Drosophila melanogaster: one gene and its partners. The protein of the gene in region 1 interacts with the protein of each later gene in a pairwise test. Each region holds a gene or a part of one and is shown on either strand. Other genes may lie near its edges. The genes, in order: CG32809, CG42788 and CaMKII.

Region 1 (7,998 bases):
CAGCGTGGACTATCGAGAGAAGCGTTATCGATGTGTGGTCGCTTATCGATGCAGTTTTATAAACAGAACTCTAAAGTACAACAAAAGCACAAATTAAGCAGCTGCCGCGCGAAAAAACAACCATCTCGGCCCCGCTCGCATCTCGGCATGTCCAGCGGCGGGAGGCGCAGCGCCTAGTCCCGCGCCTCCGCTCCTCTCAAGGAAATCCCCCTGCGCCGCCACGCAATTATGCAAGTTGCAGCAGTGGATCTAACTGTACTCGCCGCCAGTGGAACAGCAAGAGGAGGAGGAGGAGGAGCCCCACGGGCCCGAGCCCATGACCCTTGACAACCCGTGGCAGGCACCGCCACCGCTAGAAGACGAGTCCACACACTCGGTAAATAGGTGCCCACCAGTGGCCGACCAGGCGTCACAGACTAACTCTTCTCCTGCCGCCTATAGACATGAACCAGAAACATTCCGAACCATTCTACATATCGCCCCGGCTGTTCGACAACCGTCGTCTCAAGCGGCGCCGCTGTCGGTGGATGGAACGCCTGCTTGAGCACCAGCGGATCTGCATGGCCCGGATGCGCGACCAAGTGGCTCTCGCCTCCAAGACTGACCGGCAGCTGTCCCATCTGCAGCGGCGCCATGTCGCCTCCACTTTGCAGCCGGACGTGACCATCGACCTGCTGTCGGATGACGATGAGACCCCATCGGCCGGACAGCCCGCTGCAGCTGGCCACAATCGCCTCCTGATTCCTGCCCCAGGGCACCGAGCACATAGAACGGGCAGAAGGCAGGCGCCGCGCAGAGCTGCCACCCACTCATACCCAGTGACCGACAGCATCCTGATAACCAGCGATGACGAGCACAACGAGCAGGAACCCAGCAGCACGGCAAGAGTGCGCTCCCAGCTCTCCATGCGCTCACCGCCACCGCTCGCACCGCTCACACAGTCGGAGACCATCGAAGAGGTAACTGTTTCGTTGGTGCCGCGCACCTCCACCACTGCCAACTGCCTGACGCGGGTGTCAGGTCACCCCAAGCCGTGTCGAGCGTCGACGGCGGCCAGCAATGGATTCGCCACCGCCGAAGGCGGAGAGGGCGGCAATGAAACGGGCTGTTTTCTGGAGGTGGACGTGGGCGGAGGCATCACAGCCACGCTGCCGGACGAGACGACCGTTCACACGGTCATCGCAAACCGTATTTACGAACTCTCGCTGAGCAAACTACGCGAAGGCCTGGCTTTTAGTGGAGTGCCGGAATACACGAACGACCTGATGCCGGAGCAGCTGCAGAAACTGTCACCGGCATTGCGCGCCAAAGTGGCGCCCTTGGTGGCTCCCTCGCCGCCCACGCCCATCTCCCTAAAACTGTCCAGCGACCTCAGCATATCACTGATCTCAGACGAAGACGATTGCGAAAGCACCGGTCCACATGTCAACGGAGGAGTCGGCACCGAACCGGTGCACCCCGTCGTGGTGGCTGCGGCGGAGGCACACGCTGCCGCCAAGCTGCTCAAGCAGCAGCAGCCACAGCTCTCGGTGGTGCAGCATCTGCAGTACGTCGGCGGCGGACTCGCAGCTCCAGTGGCTCTTGCCCTTCCGGTGATGGCAGCAAATCCGACCTCGTCTGCTTCCGTTGTTGCCTTGCCGCTGCAGCTGCCGCGGCGCCGAAAACTGGGATGAGCTGGATGACTGATGACCGATGACCCGCCAGAACCGAGTCCCCATCGCCATAATATCATTCCCCGAGCCGGAAGCACGGCATAGACTTTAACTAGCAGTGGCTAGAAGTGCAAATATGAACGTAGGTTTAGCGACAACACATCACTATTTCCCAGTTATCCTTGAATCCAGGACTAGTCCTTGTCCGGTCGATTTTTGTATCCTTCCCCTTTCCCAAGCACCTTCTCTCCATCTCACTCAGTTGCCCATTAATCTCCCTGTCTCTGTCATTCTCATATTTTAAGCTTTAAATGAAACGAGACGACAACGTACAAATGAAAGTAGAAAAGCATCAACCCATATACATTGTTGAGCAAAAAACACAAATTTCAAAAGATTATAAGAGGGAGTAGAAAATTTGAAGCGAGTGAGAAAGGTGAGCCCAATATTTATAAAGTACAAGTAGCTAGCTTAAGATATACTATGTATATGTACATTTGATTTAGTGTATCATATATTACATGGCTGAATCACGTCGTGTAATCCGTCGCAGTCCGCCGTCTGTATTACATTAGCTGATCACCAAACCGGAATAAATTTTCATTGTATATATATATATATATACATGTACACCAGCTGTGAGAAAAGGAAACTATGCGTATGCCATCAAGGTTCGTTTCGACCAAGCGCTCCTTGAACCACGACTGATCTCTGGCCAGGATTTCGTGGGTGAACTCGTATCGCGCTAGGGCACTCTTAATATAGAGCGAGAGTTGCGGCAGGAGCAGATCCTCAGAGTGGCTGACAAAGTCATGGGATCCTTGGTCACGCGCTTCAGTCGCTGAGCATGCTAATGCCCGCAGTGGTGTTGCCGCAAAACTGTCGAATACAATCGTAAATGAAAATGAAATCGAGTTGCATCTTCTGTGGCCAAACTCACTCGAGTGTTGTCCACGTGCGGCTTGATCGCGCCAGAGTCAGCCAAGTCCAGGATGTGCACGAAGGGCATGACCTGCTCACCGAAGGAAACTCACGAGACGTGATCCAGCGTGGCCTGGTTTTGGGGAGTCCACTTTCGGCGTTCAACTTCGCGGTATCTGCCTGCGAAGTTTAAGAAGTTTAGCCAGAAATCCGATACTATATAGTCTCTATATATACCCACCCACGTCATCACAGTGGCTCAACTCGTACGGCAAGCGGCTGATGTGAGGCTCGATTTCCCGCATCAGTAGTTGCTCCTCCTTCGCAGTGATGAAGTCCCTGATGACCCGCATGTCCGATTCAAACTGGTGCTGCTCACAGCGAGGCCACTGGCCGGGAAACTCCACCAGGGCGTGGCTGCGGGCCCAGACATCCGCTGGAATCCTGGCTACTCCCGGATAAACAAGCCGGCGCAGGACAAGCATGTGTTTCGTCACCTGTTTTTAAAGGCCTTCCGCCCAGTAATCGATTGGAGCCATTCGATAGCCACATGCGCTCAACCGCCAAGAAAATTACTCGATTGCCCCGGCACCAGGTAAACACACACAACAGAGCAGCGTCGGAATGCAGGGATGCCAGGACCTCTGACGGCTGGATGCCAGGGAACTTCGCTGGTCCGGGAACACTCGATTGGTAACGCATGCGCCGTGCAAGCACGCAGTCCTCGTTCGGCTAGGGCGGAAACGCTTTCCGGTGTAGATATACCAGAAATATTTCTGCTCTTCTGGCGTTATGCTGCGTCGGTGGACGAGTGCCGTGTCCTGACTCCAGAAAGCTGTGTAGTGACGAGTGCAAAGCGAAGCGAATTGAATCGAATCTTTATCCTAAGGACACGGCTAAATCGGTGAGCTCCTCGAGCTATGAGCACCTAGACCCGTTAATTGTGAAACCTTCCTGAATCGGCAAGGCAAGTGCGGTTTGAGAAAATGCCAGAAACATCGCCGGTGAACCGCCCACACACCCCCAAAGGTGCATAGGTATACAAGGTACAGCTAGGACGAGATCCCCCATGAAAACCCAAAGGAATCCAGCCAACTGACCGCTGACGTGTGTGGAAAAGTCAACAGACACGAGCTCCCCTCCACCGTGTTTAATGTGCACTCGTGCCCTGGAAACTGGACGCAACTGACACAATTAATGGCGGCTGGGAAAAAACGGGCCGGGGCACCGCACCTAAAACTAATCAAAAATTCCTTTAGTGGCCCGCAATAATGCCGATGGGCAGTGAATGTGGGTGGCTGTGTACATATTCCCAGGCACTGGCACTGGCAAAGGCAAAGGCATACTAAAACCCGTGAAGTGCTGCACTGAAAAGTATACCATGTTTCGTGTGTACCCATCTCTGCGTCCGTTTCCTTTTGGTGCCCCTTCCTCGGATTTCTTGCTCGAGATAAACATGTACATGCAGCCAAAATAACTTGACATGCCTTGTTTAAAGCAACTTCCAACTCCAAAAACGTTTACATATGCAAAACAAATTCGAAAGTGATTCGTGTTCTCTCAGCAAATGGCATCTTAATGGCAACTGCGATGAACAATTGTATTCGGCCAACACTATTGTCTGTTCTGCCAGCCGCATTTCTGGGGTCCCGATCCAGATCCGCATGCAGTTCCAGATCCAGCTCCAGTCACGCCTTCCGCTCTGTCCTGCTTTCTTGCTCCATTCCGTGTTGCAGAGCAGAGTTTGCGCACTCCGTTGCATACTTTTTGCATTGAGCACTGGCACTGCCACTGCGAGGCTCCACTCCATTCCACCACACCCTGTTAAAGAATGTGCGAGGATACATGGTTTATCTACACCAAAGTTGCATGTTGTGTGTGTGCGGTTTAGCGTGTTGTTGCCGGTACCAAACGTAAACAAAGACCAAAAAAATAAGGACATTTTCACGTTACCCATACGCCCCGTTGTCTCTCATTTTCTGCAGCTGCAACATAGCCACTGAGCTCCGCACATCTCAAACGGCTGCAGGATGTTGATCCGTTGGAAGAGTAAGGACAAGAGCGCCTCCTCCAACCAGAGCGTCGGCGGCAGCAGCAGCTCCTCGTCGAAGAAGAAGCGCAAGGGTAGAGAGGGCGGTAAGTAATCGGAATCCATAAATCGGAAGGAAGCGAAATGAAATGAGCCTAACTCCAGCTCCCTCTCTTTCAGAAGAAGACTGGCAGAATGAGGCAAAGTCGGGACGGCTTCCGTCGAATGAACAGGGTATGTTAAGGACCAAAGACGTCCACGGATCTGTAGCCCCATCCTCAGTGTCTATGTGTTTCCCCAGGTGGCGACGAAAGACGACGAGCCATGCGACGCGACGATCCACGACGACATACGCTCGGCGGCGATATGCTGGTCTACGGCTCGCAGCATCCACACGCCCATCAGATGGCGCCCCAGCAACAGCGGGCCATGGATCTGGAGGTGAGCTCCATCTCCCATCTCAACTCGTTTCTACCATCAGTTTCTGATTCTTGTCCCTTCTTAGATGAGTACGCGCGCGCAGAAGAACAAAAAGAACCAGCCGATGCGCGGTTATGCGCCTGTTAACCAGGGACCGCTGTTCGACGACGATCCCGGCATCATGTCGGAGGTGGAAACGGCCAGCACCGGATTCCGGAGGGGCGGCAAGCAGCGCTCCTCGCTCCCCGTGGTACGCACGCCCTCGAAAACTCTGGAACGACCGCTGGGCCTGGTCTTTCTGCAGTACCGCTCGGAGACGAAGCGCGCCCTGCTGCCCAACGAGATCACTTCGATTGATACGGTGCGCGCCCTGTTCGTACGCTCGTTTCCGCGCCAGTTGACCATGTCATATCTGGAGGGGCCCAATGTGAAGATTTACATTCACGATGCCAGCAAGGATATGTTCTACGAGCTGGAGGACGTGCGCTCGCATCTGCGCGAGATCAGGGATCGCTCCGTGCTGCGTCTCTTTGAGTCCACTGAGGTGGCAGCCCCGCCCCAGATTCTGCCCGGCGGCCCTGGAATACCCCAACCCCTGCCGCAGGCGCAGGCCAATTGGGATCAGGATCAGAGCTACTTCAGCGAGCCGGAGTTCGACTCGGACTACAAGCACCAGCATATCCACAAATCAAAGGTAAGTGCTGCTAGATGGTATCAGTTAAATAGTCCTTTATTCAATATCACCGCGTAATTGCTAGGGTGAGGATGTAGGGCTTAGGGAAGCAGGATGGATTGGTGTCCATGAGCGAGTCAAGGATTGTTTGGTGGCCAAATGGGTGGCAACAGTAAAGCGTTGACTCCCACATGGACAATTGTGGCACAAGATGCCCAACCAATCGAATACTTATTCGTACATATATAGAAAAAAAAAAGATATGGAAATAATGGGGTGGGGCTGGGAAAGCTTAAGCTGGGGTCCTAGGACACTAGAATGTTATCCGAACTTTGGGAACAACTAGAAGTTACCACATGGACCCACACTGAGGCCCTTGAGGGCGTTGTTCATGTGCTCGCGCACATCCTTCCACGAAAACACGATGGCACCCTGGAAAGGCTCCGTGTGGCAGCTGCTACAGATGGCCATCACGGCCCTTACCTCCTCCTCGGCGGGCTCTCGGTCGTGCGTGCTGATCTCCTCCTCCAGGCTCATCTTGAGCGTAAGATCCTGCTTAAATTGCTGTCCGCCAAAGTCGGCGAGACCGTTGTAAATCAAGCTCCCATCCGTTCCGGAACCGACACCGTCGTCCACCACAGATCCATCGTCCAGCAGCACCAGGCCGCGCTTCTGAACCTTCTTAGTGGCGTCGGTGTTCCTCTTGAACTGGATGTGGGTCTCCGTTTCGTCGATGAACTGCACGTTGGCTGAGTTACTTAGCATTTGGAAGCGTTTGCCACCGCCACTAGGCTGCAATCCGCTCGGCGGCGAGAGGCCAAGGAGTTGCTGGGCCACCAGTCGCGATCCCGCGTTTATCTGTCCGTTCACAAAATTTGTGTTGATGGTGATGGCCTGCTGGGCGGAATCGGTCGGAGCTCCGGCCGCGCCAGGAGCGGGAGCACCACTTGCAGTCGGCGGCGGATTGGCCAAGTTGATGCGCACCCGGGTCGGGATCTGGCCACTGGCGAGCAGCGTGTGCATGGGTTGAGGACGATTAATCTGAATGGAGGTCTGGCGTGTTATATTGTCTCCGTGGGCACTGGTTACGAACTTACCGAGGGTGGGGCACGAGTGGTGCTGGAGACCTCCTGGCCCTCGTGATCAAAGTGGTGGACATGGTGGTGCTTGTGGTCGCGATGCGCCTTGCCTGCACTGAGCGCCACCCGATAGACCTGGACGAGCGTCATCTCGAAGTGGAGGCCGTGGCTCACCTCGCCGGTGACCGAACTGCCGCCGGAGCGCAGCTTGCCATTCGCTGGGATTTTATGTCCCACCAACTGAAGCAATTAAGAATTAAGTGGAGACGGAGATTTGAGATTATAGCAGCTGACATTCGCACGCCGAAAGTGAAAACGCGAACAAGGCATTTTGCAATATGCGTAATTGGAGTCAAATGGAGTCAAACTCACCGAGTTGTGGAAACCACGCCCAATGCGTTCTGCCTTCAGCCAGGCCTGCCACTCGCCCGTCTTGCCATTCCACGAGCTGCACATGTGATGCCACTGGCGCATTTTCAACGGGTAGTTCAATCTTGAGCAGAAAAACGATAAAGATTCGACGGATTGACGCCGGATTGATCGATGGATGGTTGCGTCTAGACTTACCTGTACATTTGCTGACCTTTTATGGCCATCGAAAGGAAACTGGAATTCTGCGCATTTGCGACCCAGATTTGCACCTCGCGTGGTTCCTTTCCAGCTGCAAGTGTGAATGTGGATGTGGATGCATAAGTGGATCAGATTGGCTTTGAGACTCGCTTTCATGCCAATAATGGTAACGGCGGCTCAGATTGCGAAACTGAGTGGAGCAGCGTTCCCAACTACTACCAACAACTCGATGGCTCAATGGCCAGAACGTTTCGCTAGGCAACTAGTCATCTCACGAGCCACGAGGAATCCCCCCATCGGTGATCAGATGCGATCAGGAAACCCGCCCAAGCGGTGAGCCAGGCGGTTGGTTATACAACCGGCATGCGGCAAATCCTGTTACGCTGGCAACATGTGATATGCATACATTTAAATATGAATCACCAAATCACCACCGGCTGTGAGTAAAGCACTTCCTATCCGGAAGCTTGGCTGCTGATCACTACTACTTGAGTTGACGCTCTGGAATTATGTCAAATGCTAAGGCCCGCCGCTTGAACTTCAGCTTCGGTTTAAGCGTGTTAGCTTCAGCATTGGCTTAAGCTGCTACCCACAGCTGAGAGTGCGACACCAACAATGCCGACGACATCCAACTGGAAACAGGTAAATTATCGC
Region 2 (8,103 bases), on another chromosome or scaffold:
CATTTATCCTGGAGAATTTGGTTGCAATGCAATGGACGGATGTATCTGGGATTGGTGCAACAAGAAGTGCTATTAGCTAAAACAATTTGTCTCTCTGCAACTTAAATAAACATACTTTAACTTACATAGAAAGACGTTAATATTACTGCTTATTACAGTCTTCGACTAGCTCTTGTCGAACGCGGATGTAAAATCTTCTATTCTCTCTGAGAACATTTTGGTGTACATTAAATATTTTCTGTTTTCTTCTTTAATTGTGATATTCGCAAAAAAACTACAATCAAACGTTCAAGTGATGCAATTGGCGATGCTGAAGCATCTGCCGTTGAAAAAATGCGTACTAAAAGGAATAAACCACTAGTGGAGCGCCAGAACGAACGGGGCTCCAAGCAATTTACAAATTATTTTCGTCCACTACAAACTTTAGACGATGATAATGATGATAAACCTATTGAAACGGACACACTTGATGAAATAATAATCAAGCCACCTCCTATAACATTAATTAAACAAAATACAAAATTTGTACACGAGCTAATGGCTAAAATTAAAACTGATGATTACTTTATTAAAACCATCTCAATTGGAATTAAAATATTTTTACCAAATATGGACTGTTTCAATGCAGCTTGTAACCAACTCAAGGAACATAACTGTGAGTTCTACACGTACAATACTAGATCAAACAAGCCATACAAAGCCATTTTATCCGGGCTGGATAAACTACCAATTGAAACTGTCAAATCCATGCTACAAAACCTAGGATTACAATGCACCGAAGTCAAAATTGTGGAAAAGAAAACTAAGTCTGATCATGAATTATTACTGTACATTGTTTATTTCGTAAACAAAAGTATCACAGTAAAGGAACTGCGCAAAAACTTTATGTATGTCAACCACACTAAAGTACGCTGGGAGTATAAAGTGAAATTGCAGAATAAAATTACTCAATGCTACAATTGCCAACTATTTGGACATGGATCAAATAATTGTTCAGTTAAAACATCATGTGCCCATTGTGCTGGATCACACCAGACTGCCGTATGTATGGACGTAAACAACAAAAAATGCGCTAACTGTAAAGGCGACCATCCATCGACAGAACTGACATGCCCATGCCGAATTTCTTATCTCAATTTACTTTCCAAACGCTCATCACAACGCATTGGAAGAAATAACTTGGAAGCTCATGGAATGAGGAATTCTAAGCAACACATCGCTCCATCTGCTCTCTTTGGAAATCAACCCCAGATCTCATTGCCTACTCAAACTAAGAGAGTGCAACAACTCAACTTTGGTAGCTATAGTAATGCACTCACCAATATTCATACTTTGCCTAATCCCAAAGCAAATATCACAAGTGAAACTAATCTCTTTTCATGTGAAGAGATAAATTCTCTTTTGTCTGAATTAATAACAAGATTTAATGAATGCTCCAATAAGGGAGAGCAATTTCAAGTAATTTCTCAGTTAGCGATTAAGTATGTTTACACAAACAAATAATTTTATTGATAATTTGAATATTATGGCATGGAATGCTCGTGCCGTTAGAAACAAACGTATAGAACTGATCAAGTTCTTAGAAAATAATCACATTCACATAGCACTTATAAATGAAACGTGGCTGACTCATAGTGACCGTTTTAATATACCCGAATACACTATATACAGAAATGACAGGAAGGAAAGTAGGGGAGGCGGCGTTGCCATTGCAGTTAGTAACACATTGATACATGAACAAATACCCTGCATTAAAAGTCATGTTATTGAAAATGTAGGTATACAAATCAACACTGACTCTAATTCCAGTCTAAAAATTTACTCTATTTACTTTGCTGGAAATACTTCAAAATGTATTCCTAGTTCATGTGATTTATCTTGGGACCATAATCATTTAAAAAGTTTGTATAGATCTGATCTCCTTAAGATCTCACAAATAAATGGAAATTTTCTAATTTGCGGGGACTTCAACTCGCGCCACAGAGCATGGAAGTGTACCCGAGCCAATGGTTGGGGCAAAATTCTCAATGAACTTTCAGATCTGGGAAAATTCAGTATTTTGTACCCTACGCAACCCACATATATTCCGCATAACCATAAAGCAAAAGCATCAACATTGGACCTATGCCTCACTAATATCCCTAACCAGCTGGCTAATCCAGCAGTAATGCAAGAGCTTTCCTCTGATCACCTACCAGTGGTTATTAAATACTCTACAAATTTTATGCGCAATGTAAAAACATATCCGATTTTGGGAAGGGCAAATTGGGCGCTTTTTAAGAGAATTATAAATGAAAGGCTGATGGTTGAAGAGGTGGTTGTCAACTGCTCACAGATATCGACTTTGGATATTGATAATTTAATCGGCTCTTTCACTAGAGTAATCAATTATGCCTTTCTTAAAGCAGTCCCTCATAAACCTATACATCACTCCAAGCTTACACTCCCTGTACATATATTTTTTACAAAAAGAAGGAAACCTCGTTATCTTCCTGATAGACAGTTGCGAATACTAGACTCTCCAATACAATGGGTTGACAACATTCGATATTTGGGTATAATTTTTGATAAAAAACTAACATTTAAATACCACATCAACAACACAATTATGAAAGTTAATAAAATTATTTGCACACTGTACCCTCTAATAAATCGTAAATCTAAATTATCAATATCCAATAAGATCATAATTTTTAAAACAATTTTTAATCCAATATTAATGTATGGGTCACCTGTTTGGGGTAGATGTGCTCAAACTCATATCAAAAAACTTCAAATATGCCAAAACAAGCTGTTAAAATTAATAATGAACTTACCTTATTACACAAACACTAAGTACCTACATATAAAAGCAGGTGTACAAAAAGTTCAACAAAAAATACAATATTAACAATCTTTTGTTTCAAGTCTTAGTTTTTAAGTTAGTTGTAAGTCAATTAAGGTTTTTCTTCTCCCTTGTTTTCCTTAATAAATAATAAATATTGTTATACAAAAAAAAACTAAAAACAGGTCAACTAGACATAATTAATAAATATTTCAGATGAAAGCCTTAGCTAAACACTGTAAATACCTAATTATACCATTAGCTTTAATGAAATGTACATATATATATAAGGGATAAAGCACAAATAAATTAAATTAAAATTAAATTACTGCTTATTACCTTTTCGGGAAGTCCCCGTTTCGAATTTCAAATTACCCTTAAATAGCTAGTACACACTCCCAACTTAGCAGAGACACGCACCGAACTTGATAGCGGGTATACAATGTCGATAACACTTCGTCGATAGATCGATAACACTTGGGGTTTGTTTCAGCTGTTGCCGCGCCAGTCTCATTGTGTTTTTGCATCGCGAGCGGGACGGTCGTCGATTCGGGTTCGAACTGGAATCGGAAATAGCGGTCTAGCGGGCCTTTCTGCCTCTCTGTGTGCTTTTGAAAAAAGTTTGCTTGAAAAATGTGTAAAGAAAGCGGCGCCGCCAAGTGAGTGCGTGTGTGTGTTTTTATGTGTTTGCAAATACAAAGGTAAAACAGCCCCAAAGGCAACAACAAAGTGGCGGCGTTGGCGGCTATAGCGCAGTAGCAGCGACGCAGCGGAGCAGCAGCAGCGACGTCCAGTGCATTTTGGTGCAAACTAATTGTTGTTGTGAGAGGTACGCTATACTCGTATGTGTATGTGTGCGAGTGGGTGTTAGTTGCAGGTGTGCGTGCGATTTGATTTGCATTTATGTTGGGGTTTTGTTTTCAACTTTTCATCAAGTAATATAAACTAAATAAATGAACTATGTGTGGAAATTATTTAATATATATATAAATAAAAATAAAAGTATAATATGAACATGAAAGTTAAAGTTAAATCGTAGGAAATCAACAAATTGAGAATATTAAATTAAACAAATAGCCGAAAAACGCACACAATACAGCAAAAGCAAAGTAAAACTAAAATCATATTTAATAAACAGCATAGGGGACTGTTGTATAAGCATTTGTTTACATAGTGCAAAAGCCCATAAATTGTGCAATTCCCCCAGCAGAGAATTGTTCTCTCTCTCTCTTTCTCGCCGTCCCTTGTGTTAATTGAAAAAAAGTCAACAAACTTCCTGTTTTTTATGTGTCTGCCTCTCTTTTCCGCACTTTTCATAACTGTTGCCGCAGACAACAAGGCTATTATTGTGGCAGTACCGCCCCGCCCCCTGCCTGCGCCTCCGCAGCCCTTTCTTCCGCCCACAAACTCTCTCTGAAAAGGGAAGCGAAATGTGAGAGTGTGTGTGTTGGCAAGAAAGTTTTGTATTTGCTTTTGTGATTTCTGCTTGCTGTTTGATATGTGCCAGAAGTGCGGGCGTTGAAGTTTTTAGTGCAACATTTCTCTGCTCCAGCGGGAGCTTTTATAATGTGTGTGTGCGCTATTATTAAAACCCCCAACGCTCACACACACACACAGCCATGTGCATGGAGCAAAAAACTATGGCCGTGTGTATTTGTGCGAGGCGTTGGCGTTCTGACCAGCAGAAGAGGAAGATGGCGCAGCGGCAAGGGGTGAAAGGAAACGGAAATAAGTGGTGAAATGGGAGAGGGGAAGAGAGTGGGAAGAATACTAAATAAATAAATTAGAGAATCAAACAAATAAGCGGAGGAAAGTAAATAAATAGGTAAATTGAAATAAATAGATGAAATGTTTAACTAAACCAAAATACGGTCGATTTTGTATTGCAAATTGTATGGGGATGTTATATTTACTTTGAATTGATATTTTATATATCCATCTAAATCCATATAGCCATCTAAAAGTTTACGCTGGAAAGGTCATTATAATATTATCCACACTGTGTGAACTAATTATATTAACAGAATTTCGCGGAACACAGAAATCTTGTCGGTTTTGGGGTCAGTTCATAAATAAATCAAACAAATCGGGTAAAACGTAAAAGATAAACATTATGTAAATCAACAAACACCGCCCAAGGAATTCCTGTGCAATTTCGAGTGTTTACCTCTCGCCCACCTTGCCCACACCACCATCCATTCCCTTTCCTTTCCGTCCCCTTTCACCCACTTGTGAGACATAAACGTCGCCGCACATTTGCCGTACCCCCACTCCAATTGGTGGGGTATTGTAATAAAGCGTTTTACGATCTCCGGTGCCTGACGCACTTGTTGTTTTTATGACAGTTAAGCTATTTTGCGTATGACACGTTTGACAGATGCCAAGCGCCCAGTGCTGCTGCCAACGCCGCTGTTAAACGCAGCCCATCTCGCTCCCTCCTTTTCCCAGCCTCTCCACCGCCGTTAACACTCACCACCCATAGTTGGTTGATGCCCCCTTTTTACATGAAACCAAATTAATACTTTGATTTGGGACCAAGCGGAAAATATATTTGATTGAATTTCTTAAGAGCACATTATTGATCCGTTCCATAAACAGTTTAATACTAGATTTTATGAAATTAAAGCTTTAATATTATTCTCATTTGAAATTAGCCTCAATTAAGATAACCAAAACTTTTGGATGCCAAAAATATTATTCCATGCTGTGGCCTGCTCGACCAACATACATATCGTGCCACCCTAACCCACACCCCTTCGCTGGCCGAAAAAGTTTGTGCATGTTTGTTTGCTGCGCAGGCATTTTAATTTCACCAGCCATTAAGTACACAAAGAGTGGGCGTGTGGCATGTTGGGGGCGCAGCGGGTTGGGTCGGACAGAGAAGTTGTCTTTTCGCAGCTCCTTTTACGCATGTTTTCGCGCTAGAGCCCAGAAAGAAGTCGGCATGACATCAATTTTCTCGGCCAAATGTGGCGAACTGCGACAGCGGCAACAACAGCAACAATAAACTGGGCCACGCCTACAAAAACCATAAGCTGCAAACATCAAATATCAACGGCAGCAGCAGCAACAGCTAAAACAACAACAAACAACTGCCGCTCGGCTTGTCGCATGTAATTGCTTGCCGCAAAGTAAATGACAATAGCGCAAGGCAAAAGACAGTGGGGACAAAGTGACGCTGAATGGAATGCTGATATGCAATAATTAGTATCAAGAAATGATTGACGATGCTTGCGATAAATTGATACCTAGGCATAATTTTGATAACCAATAATATAGGAATTGCCGCTCTTTAGCTTGGTTTCATCTTAGGTATATCTTTATTATCTAAGACAATCAAAATGAGTCTCTTCTGATGTTAACAATTTCTTTGGTTTTTTCAAGTATTACGTATGCGTAATTTCTAATACTATGTTCTTATATTACCTATTTCATATTTTTTATTTATTTATTTGTTGTATTATTTTATTCAGTAGTTTTAATAATAATATTTTTGTATGGATTTTACTCCGATTCGTCCCACTGTACCGACAAACAAGCTGAGGTCGGTGTAACTAAAAACCGCAAAAGCTTGTCACTCCCCCTTTCGCACATCGCCCCCGGTTTCCACCTCCCGCCACGCCCCCTTGGGTCGCACACACTTCTATGCTGTCGAAGTAGTTGCTTCCGCTCTCGCGGTTTCGTCGCTCCCGCCTGAATAAATGTATGTACATGTATGTGTGTGTGTATAGAAGTATCTATCGCAGTTGTATCTTTTTGCTGTTGTATCTTTAGCCGCGTACGTGGGCGGCAAAGGCATTAGAAAAAAATATCAACGTCAAGCCCGAAGTTCAAATTCAAGCTTTGAAATATTTGCTGGATGACGTCGGCGTCCAATCTTTTGTCGTCGTCAATCAAAATTCGAAATATCTTTGACGCATTCTGCGGATGCATGCGCCTAGGCTTTGAGTTTCCGCTGCGGACTTCGGCTAAACAAATGCCAAAACCCAAACACAAAACAAAAAAAGGAAACTGATAAGCCAGGCAAACATTTAAACACTAGCTGCCATTTGCGTATCGAATATCGTTTTTGTTTATTATCTTCCCATTATTACTTGTATTTATTTACCTCCTCACTTTTTCGCTTTTTGGTCAAAGCTTTTGGCCATTTAATATTCATTTATTCAGCCATGTTTATTTATTTATTTGCGTGTCTCTCGGTCGGAGTGTTTGTGATTGTGTTTTCTACTTGTGATGTGGGGCTAAAAGACCATAAGACGTAAAAAAAAATAAAAATAACGAAAAACGTGAAATCGCATGCTAGGAGCCATGGCCATGATTTTGAATTTTAGCGGGCCAGAGTCGCGACAAAGAAATCCGAAATAAAATAAAAAAAAAGTATATATATAATCGTAAAGGCATTTGGCATCCATTTGATACCCTTGTGGAGGGTCATCGATTACTTTGATTTGTCATTTCTGCACGTTCAATTTCCTGATATATGTGGGATTCCCAATTTGGTTAATATCTTCGGAGTAAATCTTTCGATCACTTAAAATAGCCTATTTAAAATCAATTAAATGCTATTTGTTGCTTTTGTTTATTTTTATACTTCTTAAATATTATATAATTAAAGGTTATTGTGTAACAAGTTTTTGAGGTAAGCTGTTACCCATAAAACCATAAATTTCTATTAATTTTACAAGCTTCGTTGGCCTTTCCTTCGGTTCACATTTTGAAAGGAGAACAATATTTTAGCTTAGAGAAATCCTGCACTACCAAAGCCATATTTCATTTCGAAAATCATAAATCTCCGAAAGTTTCTGTTGGTCGGAGCGTAATTCATTTAGTTTGTGCGCCAAGCAGGAATTAATTGAGATCTTTTAGACAACTTAAATAAAAATATATGCGTATGTACACATTGGATTTAAAGGAATATGCTTTATATCTGGCTTGACAAAGCAATTTAAATATTTTAATTCAACGACTGCCAGCATGTACTTTTATGGAAATTTTGTTTGGGAAAAACAACGATGCCAATGGGAAAAATAACAAAGATAGAACTGCTTGCCACTCCCACCCATTCCCATCCCATATTCCAATTTTTACCATTTTCCCCACCCGTTTTTTCCCACCAGCGGGGCCAAAAGATTTTCGTAGCTCATAAATTCTTTTGTTTAACTCGTTTTTCTTTGATTTCTTTAGCCGGGCACGTAGCGAACCAAGCGCGGGTAAAGAAAAAAAGTGAAAATTCAGTGGGAAAATTGTCGCTGTCTGTGGCCCACTGCGATTACAGCAGC
Region 3 (7,837 bases), on another chromosome or scaffold:
TGTGCGTTTCAGATATCAGTTTTAAATTCTAATTCATTTGTAAATTGAAGAGCTCCAACAGACTGAAATGAAATGATTACAAATTAAGGATTTCATTTATTTTACTTTAAATAAAATTAAATTTAAATTTAAATATTTATTTTTCTTTTTGTAACATTTTAGGTCACGGTGCGCATGACAAAGTGTTGTGAAACGTTGGTTTGAGTACTTATTAGTCTAACTATGGAGCATTTATGTGGGCAGTTTTATGGAATCACGGCCTAAAATAAAAAGATAATATGAAATATATTACTTTAGAGTTCCAATCAACCCAATAATGTTTAATGCGGAGGTAGTTCAGTATAGTGATATGTGCACAAATTAATGCGCAGACGCTCCTGAAACGAACCGTCGTTGGCAAAAGTTTTCGATTTAACGACATTATGAGACGAAAAAGCTTTTCTCTCTAGCAGTTCATCGAATCAAACGCGGCCGCAAAATCTTGTTAGTCAGTATTGAATTCGATTTTCAAGAAAACAGACGTTCTAAAAATTTCGGTATCTAGCTGTGTGTTTCGTGTTCTCCCAGCTCGTTAAAAACATATACATATAGCTTTTTAAATACTCTTATAAGCATTTTGAACAAACATTTATCAGATCTCCTGAAGTTTAAAATATTGTTATTCGCAATTGAAAAGAACACATCAAGTATAGGTATCAAATTGGATTTAATATACATACATATGTACTCACTTATGTATTTTTATATATATGTATATTTATATAAGTTTACGTATCTATAATACCTGATACAATTCTGGGTCAACACAGATTCTAATATATACATGAGTATACACATATACATATATTTGATATATGTATGGTCTCTTACTGTGTATATGCCAACTAATATTAAATACTTTTTTCGCGCGTATAACGATTGCATATTGTAAAGTTAATATATATATTCACACGCTTCACTTATATCTTAAAAGGACATTTATACAACATCAGTATGTACCCCATTTTGTGCCTTTGTTCAGTTACGCAGTAAATATAAATATATGACACTTAAAAATTTTGTAATTGTTATTGCACAATATACATACATCTTACAAATTACTCTTGATATCTACAAGAAAGTTTAAAACATACCTAAATACTTACGAGTTATGATAAATGCTTTTTTTTTAATTTTAAAAAAGTGTTTCACATTCTATATATCGTCCCTCCTAGTCCGAAAAATGGGTTTAGTAAAACATTTCTGAAGGTCTCATCCAAATAGTATATTTAATTCGCGTACATAGCGCGTGTTTATATGATTTAATGAAAAAGTATAATTTGCAACAAGTAATTTCCAAGACCCTGAAATATCCTTGCTAAAAGGGGTGGGGCGTTTTACCATTAAGCTCATCAAAAAAAGCTTCAACGCATGTAACCTGCAAAGGATACATACCTACATATATATGTACGTATATATATAACTGCTTCCCAGATACATTCTCATAATCAGGATTTTCTTTTTTAAGAAATTAACCAAAAACACCTGTCGCTTTTTTTAATTGATTGAAATATGTCAATGAGAGTTAAATATATCTGGTTTAAAACAAAGATAATAAAGTTTTGATCACAAATTTTAAACTTTTCGTAACATTTGACTTGACAATATTATATTATAAGTATGTTATTTCAAAATTGCGAGGGTGCAATTAAGGGTCTACATATACCTTTTCCAGGGAAACACTTCTTTTTCATGGTGATTGGGTCTAGTTTTAAAAAAACACGTACAACAAACTAAAAACTAACAGTACCGCTGTTACCGGATATGGCAAAAAACAAACCTCACGGAGAGGTATAAAACAAGAGAGAACGTGACAGTAGTTCATCGACTATTTAACAACCCGACAGAAATGTGCAAAATAAAAGAATAAATAAAAATAATGAAACAAAAAAACAAAACACTTTGTAAATGTGTGGGCAAAATCGAAATAAAAGATTTCAAGACTGAAAGAAGCAAATTATTTTTCAAAAAAATTGGAGTTACAGTTTTAGGCGGATTAAATGTCTGGTTCTCAAGAAAACAAATTTGCATGCTTTATCCCATGCCTGTCGTCCGTATCAACGCTGTTACCGCTGAAACTATAATAACTGGAAAGTAAAACGAAAAAATAATTTCCATTTTTTATTCCTTTACTCAATACGTAATATAGGTTAATAGTAATGATTGTTGCTGCTCTTGATCAGCTGGCTATCACACTAGCTTCGTTGAAAAGTATGTAACTTGCAGAACGACGCGTTTCCGAGCGTTTAAACTATATATAGTCTTCACCAGGATCAATAGCCGAGTCGAATTTTCATGTCCGTCTATCTGTATGAACTCCACGATCTCAGGAACTATAAAAGCTAGAAAGTTAAGATTGTGCCATGCCCTTTTTAAGTTTTCGTTTATTTTTTTTCAAAAAATTGTTGAAATTGTTTTGCCAATTTTAATCGGTACGCCAGAAAAATGTTTAATATTCTCGTTCATACTTCCACTAGCTGAGTAACAATTATCTGATAGTCGAAAAGCTTTACTATAGCGTTTTCTCTTGTTTTAATTCTGCAATGGATTCGTATTTTTTCAGGGCCATAGTTTAATTTGATATTGAAAACGCCACTGAGTGGTTGATATGCATATCGATGTAAGGCCCGTTTACACTGCACTAACCGCGGAGTTATGGTTTTACATATGTAGATACCTTTGCTATTTTGATGTGCATGGGGAACAGTTAAGTGTAGCTTTGGTAAGGAGTTGACCCCTATGTTTAATAATCGAGTTTATTACATTTTTCGTCTATCGAATGTCATGTCATCTCTAGGCAACAACAAGGTATCAGATTCAACGTTTGAGATAGGATAATACATTTTCAGACATTTTTCAATTTGTGCCCCCGCACATGTTGTTTCTTGCGAAGTATGGTGTTTTTTCGTATGATTTCATGATCACATGAAAAAACTTCAACCACCAAAATCTTCAAAATGGAGGTCGAGTTTTCTAGTTTAAGCAACGTGCTTTAAGAGAACTCACTTGAATTACCAACTCAATAAGAAACCTGCGGCTGTTTAAAATAACATAACCCTTATATTATTACAAACCATTTAAAATTTGAAGAACTATATGTAGATTGCTGGTCTGTTTTGCATCGACTCCACTGAGTAATATAGAATTTTAAAATTGGAATAGCGAGACATTCTTTTAATTTTACCGATATGTGTTTCTATGAAATAAGTTACCTAATCTGTGCTCTGAATACTTCTGAATTACATTGGCGAGCTTTACTTTACGAGCTTCATGCCCGATCTTATACAGAGAAGAATGCAAGTTTATACTATGATGGCCGGGGGATTCTCAAATACATGCAGTACCCCTTTGGATACCATAGAACCAACGCTGTCTGAAACTTTTGAACCAGCTAGTGATTACTTTATAACAAAATAATATTTAGAGAAGGCCCATGGTACCTAAATGGTACAACAATGTATGTATGTTTGTACGTTGTAAGCAATTTTTTGTATAATTTTTGTAAAACTGATTTATTATCTTATATTTAAAAATCGTTTAGAAAACAAGAAATAAAACTCCTGAAAAGTGAAATCTGTAGAGCAGTTGAAGATCTTTAGTCGCAATAGATTTTCTTAAGTGTGCCATCGCGATGGCTGCACCAGCAGCCTGTACGCGTTTTTCGGACAATTACGACATCAAAGAAGAGTTGGGAAAGTAAGTTTAACAAACTCAAGGTTAATAAATTTATTATAATAACCCGTCTATTAACATTTCAGAGGAGCATTCTCAATTGTGAAAAGATGTGTCCAAAAGTCAACTGGCTTTGAATTTGCTGCAAAAATTATCAATACAAAAAAATTAACTGCCAGAGGTAAGGCTTTCTGTGTTCTATGTAGGTTATAAATCACATATGTACGCATTTATGCTATGCACACGCATGTAGGGAAACTAAGTGCTGTTTTTAGGTAATTCGTCGAGTACAGTAAAAGGGTATACTAGATCCTTGATCCTTGGAAAGTATGTATATTCTTGATCAGGATCAATAGCCGAGTCCGTCTCTCCGTATGGTCGTCGAGATCTCAGAAACTATACAAGCTAGAAGGCATACAGATTTTAGAAACAAATACGCAGCGCAAGTTTGTTGACCCATGTTGCCACATGCGCCACGCCCTCACTTTTGAAAAATGTGTTGATATTTTTTCACATTTGTATTGGTCTTGTAAATTTCTATCGATTTGCTCAAAAAAAAGTTTGCCACGCCCATTCTAACGCCCTTTAACTTCTATCGATTTGCTTAAAAGCCGCCAACCGGTCACGTCCACACTTTGGACCAATTTTTAAACTTTTTTCTTATTTTATTCCCCAATATCTATCGTTATCCTAGAAAAATGATGAAATTTCGCGTTCCCATTCACACTAGCTGAGTAACTGGTATCTGATGCCGTTTTTTCAACGGCGATATGGCATATCGTAAGAAATCAGTAGTAAACATTGACTGTCAAAAAGTTTTCCTGTAAAATGTACTTTCTTTTTGCTAAGTACGCTTTTGGAAGGGACCATTCTTTTTGTGTAATATCTTCGTCGTCCCTATCTATTTGCCACACAAGTATCAAATAGTTCTACAGTAATTAAGTTGTATTTCTTGGTGTTGTGCTATTTAGTAATTAATAAATTTTTACTGCCAAGACGTGGCCAAAATAATTTTGGAATAGCAGTATTGGCAAAGTGTGTAATTTACAAAAAATATATTAAATAACTTTTAAGAAGTTTGAGCATGACAGCTGGGACAAATTTTGGGCTTAGAGAGAACCATTTGCTTGCTCGCCAAAAACCTCTTATTAACATATTTGTACACATGCATGTATGCATATAAGAGATGCTTATAATATATATATATATATATTTTTTTTTTTTGCTTTTAGACTTTCAAAAACTGGAACGTGAAGCAAGGATCTGCAGAAAGTTACACCATCCCAACATAGGTATGCAACGTGTATATAAATATAATTTACTTACTTATTCTTTAAAGATACGTTTTTCTGAAGATGTATGATCTACATAAAAGTAGACGAACATGGCCTAATATCACTTTGAACATCTACTATACATAATTTTTATATGTACATTCAATCACGGCTTAGACCCCAGTAGTGTTGATGACTTGCAATGTGATCCTGATAAAGGATGGTTTGACGTCCACGGTAACACAACGAAGAAAAAAATAAAATAGAGTTTAGTAGATATATCAATCCGCATCTGCAAGCAACATTCCATTCCTCGCCCTCCCTACTCTCCAATAACAAATCTTCCAAGTAATTTATAATTATAATAATTATAAAAACTTGCAGAACAGCAAAAACCGAACTCATGCAATAGACTTTCCTCTCACTAAAAGCGTAACCTAACAAAACAGTTATTTACACGGACAGTTCAAATCTAGAAACATCACTTCCTCCAGCGTCACCGACAAAATATATAATATGTTCAAAATGTATTTTATAAACATATATTTTTATAGCCTTTAAGGCTTATAATCATTGTCATCCGTAAAAAAAAAACATTAAATACAAATGTATACAACTAATAAATTGTTAATATGTACAATTTCAGTGCGGCTACATGACAGTATACAGGAGGAGAACTATCACTACCTTGTTTTTGACCTGTAAGCATTAACCTGCATAGACTCCTTACCAAATATTTAAATTGCCTATCCCCAAAAGTGTTTTAAAAATATGAGTTTCTAACAAATGCTTGTAAATGTGGCAATGACTCGACTATTGTTTATTGAGATTCATACTTCATCCTTTTCCCTCCGTTCGTTCATACTATAATATGAATATGAATCAAATTTTAAAGCCGCAATATAATATATATAATATAATATGAATCAAGTTTTAGCCGCAATATATTTTTGTTATATTAGAGATGTGTTTTCTGCTGTCGCAACTTAAATATAACCTAAATTTAAATTTAGAGCTTCAATCGCAAAATTTGACTATGCCTACATACATTTGCAGTGTAACCGGTGGTGAACTTTTTGAAGATATCGTTGCACGCGAATTTTATTCAGAAGCTGATGCATCACATTGTATTCAACAAATATTGGAATCGGTCAATCACTGCCACCAAAATGGTGTGGTGCACCGAGATCTGAAACCAGAGAATTTACTATTAGCTAGTAAGGCTAAGGGTGCAGCAGTGAAACTCGCTGACTTTGGTCTAGCCATTGAAGTTCAAGGCGATCATCAGGCTTGGTTTGGATTTGCCGGCACACCAGGATATCTGTCTCCTGAGGTATTGAAAAAGGAGCCCTATGGGAAATCGGTAGACATATGGGCATGTGGTAAGCAATTATAATTGTTGTAACATTTGCATGCACATGCATGCCAAACGGCAGTCGGTTACACAGTTCAACAACTATTTTATTTTTCCTCAGGAGTTATTCTTTACATACTTCTTGTCGGTTATCCACCCTTTTGGGATGAAGATCAGCACCGACTGTACTCGCAGATAAAAGCGGGAGCTTATGATGTACGGAAACTATAATAATTTATGTGGATTCATTATATTTAAATATAACTTTATTTTAGTATCCGTCTCCAGAATGGGATACGGTTACTCCAGAAGCTAAAAATCTTATTAATCAAATGCTAACCGTTAATCCAAATAAACGAATAACTGCAGCTGAGGCTTTAAAACATCCGTGGATTTGTGTAAGTGCAGACTAATTTTTCTCTTAGGTTTACATAAAGATAATGAAAAAACATTGTTACAGCAACGCGAACGTGTGGCTTCCGTTGTGCATCGCCAAGAAACCGTAGACTGTCTCAAGAAATTTAATGCGCGGCGCAAGCTAAAGGGAGCCATACTTACGACAATGTTGGCGACCAGAAATTTTTCGAGTATGTAACTTAACTTAATTAATCTTGACCACATCAATATACTTGGCGTCAACACAAAAATATACAAAAAGAATAATAAAAACGCTATGGCCGATTTCGTTGACAATTATATACCCGTTATTCAGCTTGTAGGATTGATATAAATATATTTAACTTCGTATAAAAAATACCCTTTACTCGTAGAGTAAAAAGGTAGACTATATTGTTTGAAAAGTATGTAACAAGCAGAAAGAAGCGTTTCCGAGCATAAATAGAATAATATTCTCGATCAGGATCAATAGTAGAGTCGATCTGGAACTGTCCGTCCGTATGAACGTTGAGATCTTAGGAACTATAAAAACAAGAAGGTTGAGATTACGCAACCTTTATTGATCCATATAAACACTCTAACGACCACAAACCGTACAAAACTGCGACGCCCAAACTTTTGAAAAATGTGTAGATATTTTTTCACATTTGTATTAGTCTTGTAAATTTTTTATCGATTTGCAGAAAAAATTGAGACCTCGTTCATACGGACATGGCCAGATCGAGTCGGGTATTGATCCTGATCGAGAATATACAGTTGCGGTAACAAAATAGCACCATAAGCACATTTTGTGTTTGTCCCAGCGTTTCTCCATTTTCTGAAACTTTTTCAAAAAAAATAATTGTTAAAACAAAAAAAACCTTCAAATTTAGGCGGTAACAAAAATATAACTGTTCCTCGTAGTTTGCTAAAACTAACCAAAAAAATAAAAAAATAATTCAACAAATGGATTATATCTTAAGAACTATGTTTAAAGAATCTTAATATTTGGTTGCGGGACCGCGCATCGCCCTGGCATAGAGTCCACCAAGTCCTGGCCTAGCTTTTGAGGAATAAAAATGACCAGACCCCAAAGATCGTCGTTATTATTGGGTTTGGCTTC

The links.
Region 2: the proteins of CG32809 (region 1) and CG42788 interact in a two-hybrid assay, tested with the Drosophila melanogaster proteins (one large-scale study listed by BioGRID).
Region 3: the proteins of CG32809 (region 1) and CaMKII interact in a two-hybrid assay, tested with the Drosophila melanogaster proteins (one large-scale study listed by BioGRID).

The regions. Positions count from the first base shown.
Region 1 is NC_004354.4:1,687,918-1,695,915, reverse strand, and holds the start of CG32809 (uncharacterized protein), read left to right. Parts: upstream 1-3,147; 5' UTR 3,148-3,477; exon of another isoform or gene 3,478-3,619; intron 3,620-4,558; 5' UTR 4,559-4,603; coding exon 4,604-4,709; intron 4,710-4,782; coding exon of another isoform or gene 4,783-4,785; coding exon 4,786-4,836; intron 4,837-4,903; coding exon 4,904-5,043; intron 5,044-5,107; coding exon 5,108-5,716; intron 5,717-5,728; exon of another isoform or gene 5,729-6,037; coding exon of another isoform or gene 6,038-6,736; intron 6,737-6,792; coding exon of another isoform or gene 6,793-7,014; intron 7,015-7,146; coding exon of another isoform or gene 7,147-7,267; intron 7,268-7,341; coding exon of another isoform or gene 7,342-7,435; intron 7,436-7,810; exon of another isoform or gene 7,811-7,986; intron 7,987-7,998. Other genes in the region: a6, read left to right, coding at 444-1,673; b6, read right to left, coding at 6,038-6,736, 6,793-7,014, 7,147-7,267, 7,342-7,435.
Region 2 is NT_033777.3:15,127,158-15,135,260, reverse strand, and holds the start of CG42788 (uncharacterized protein), read left to right. Parts: upstream 1-3,334; 5' UTR 3,335-3,653; intron 3,654-4,401; exon of another isoform or gene 4,402-4,507; intron 4,508-8,103. Other genes in the region: CG6912 (uncharacterized protein), read left to right, coding at 1-76.
Region 3 is NC_004353.4:1,046,353-1,054,189, reverse strand, and holds the start of CaMKII (Calcium/calmodulin-dependent protein kinase II), read left to right. Parts: upstream 1-2,811; 5' UTR 2,812-2,847; exon of another isoform or gene 2,848-3,496; intron 3,497-3,580; 5' UTR 3,581-3,670; coding exon 3,671-3,735; intron 3,736-3,797; coding exon 3,798-3,892; intron 3,893-4,943; coding exon 4,944-5,003; intron 5,004-5,631; coding exon 5,632-5,686; intron 5,687-6,041; coding exon 6,042-6,367; intron 6,368-6,460; coding exon 6,461-6,555; intron 6,556-6,614; coding exon 6,615-6,737; intron 6,738-6,799; coding exon 6,800-6,926; intron 6,927-7,837. UniProt on the Drosophila melanogaster protein: A key regulator of plasticity in synaptic physiology and behavior, alterations in its activity produce pleiotrophic effects that involve synaptic transmission and development as well as various aspects of behavior. Directly modulates eag potassium channels.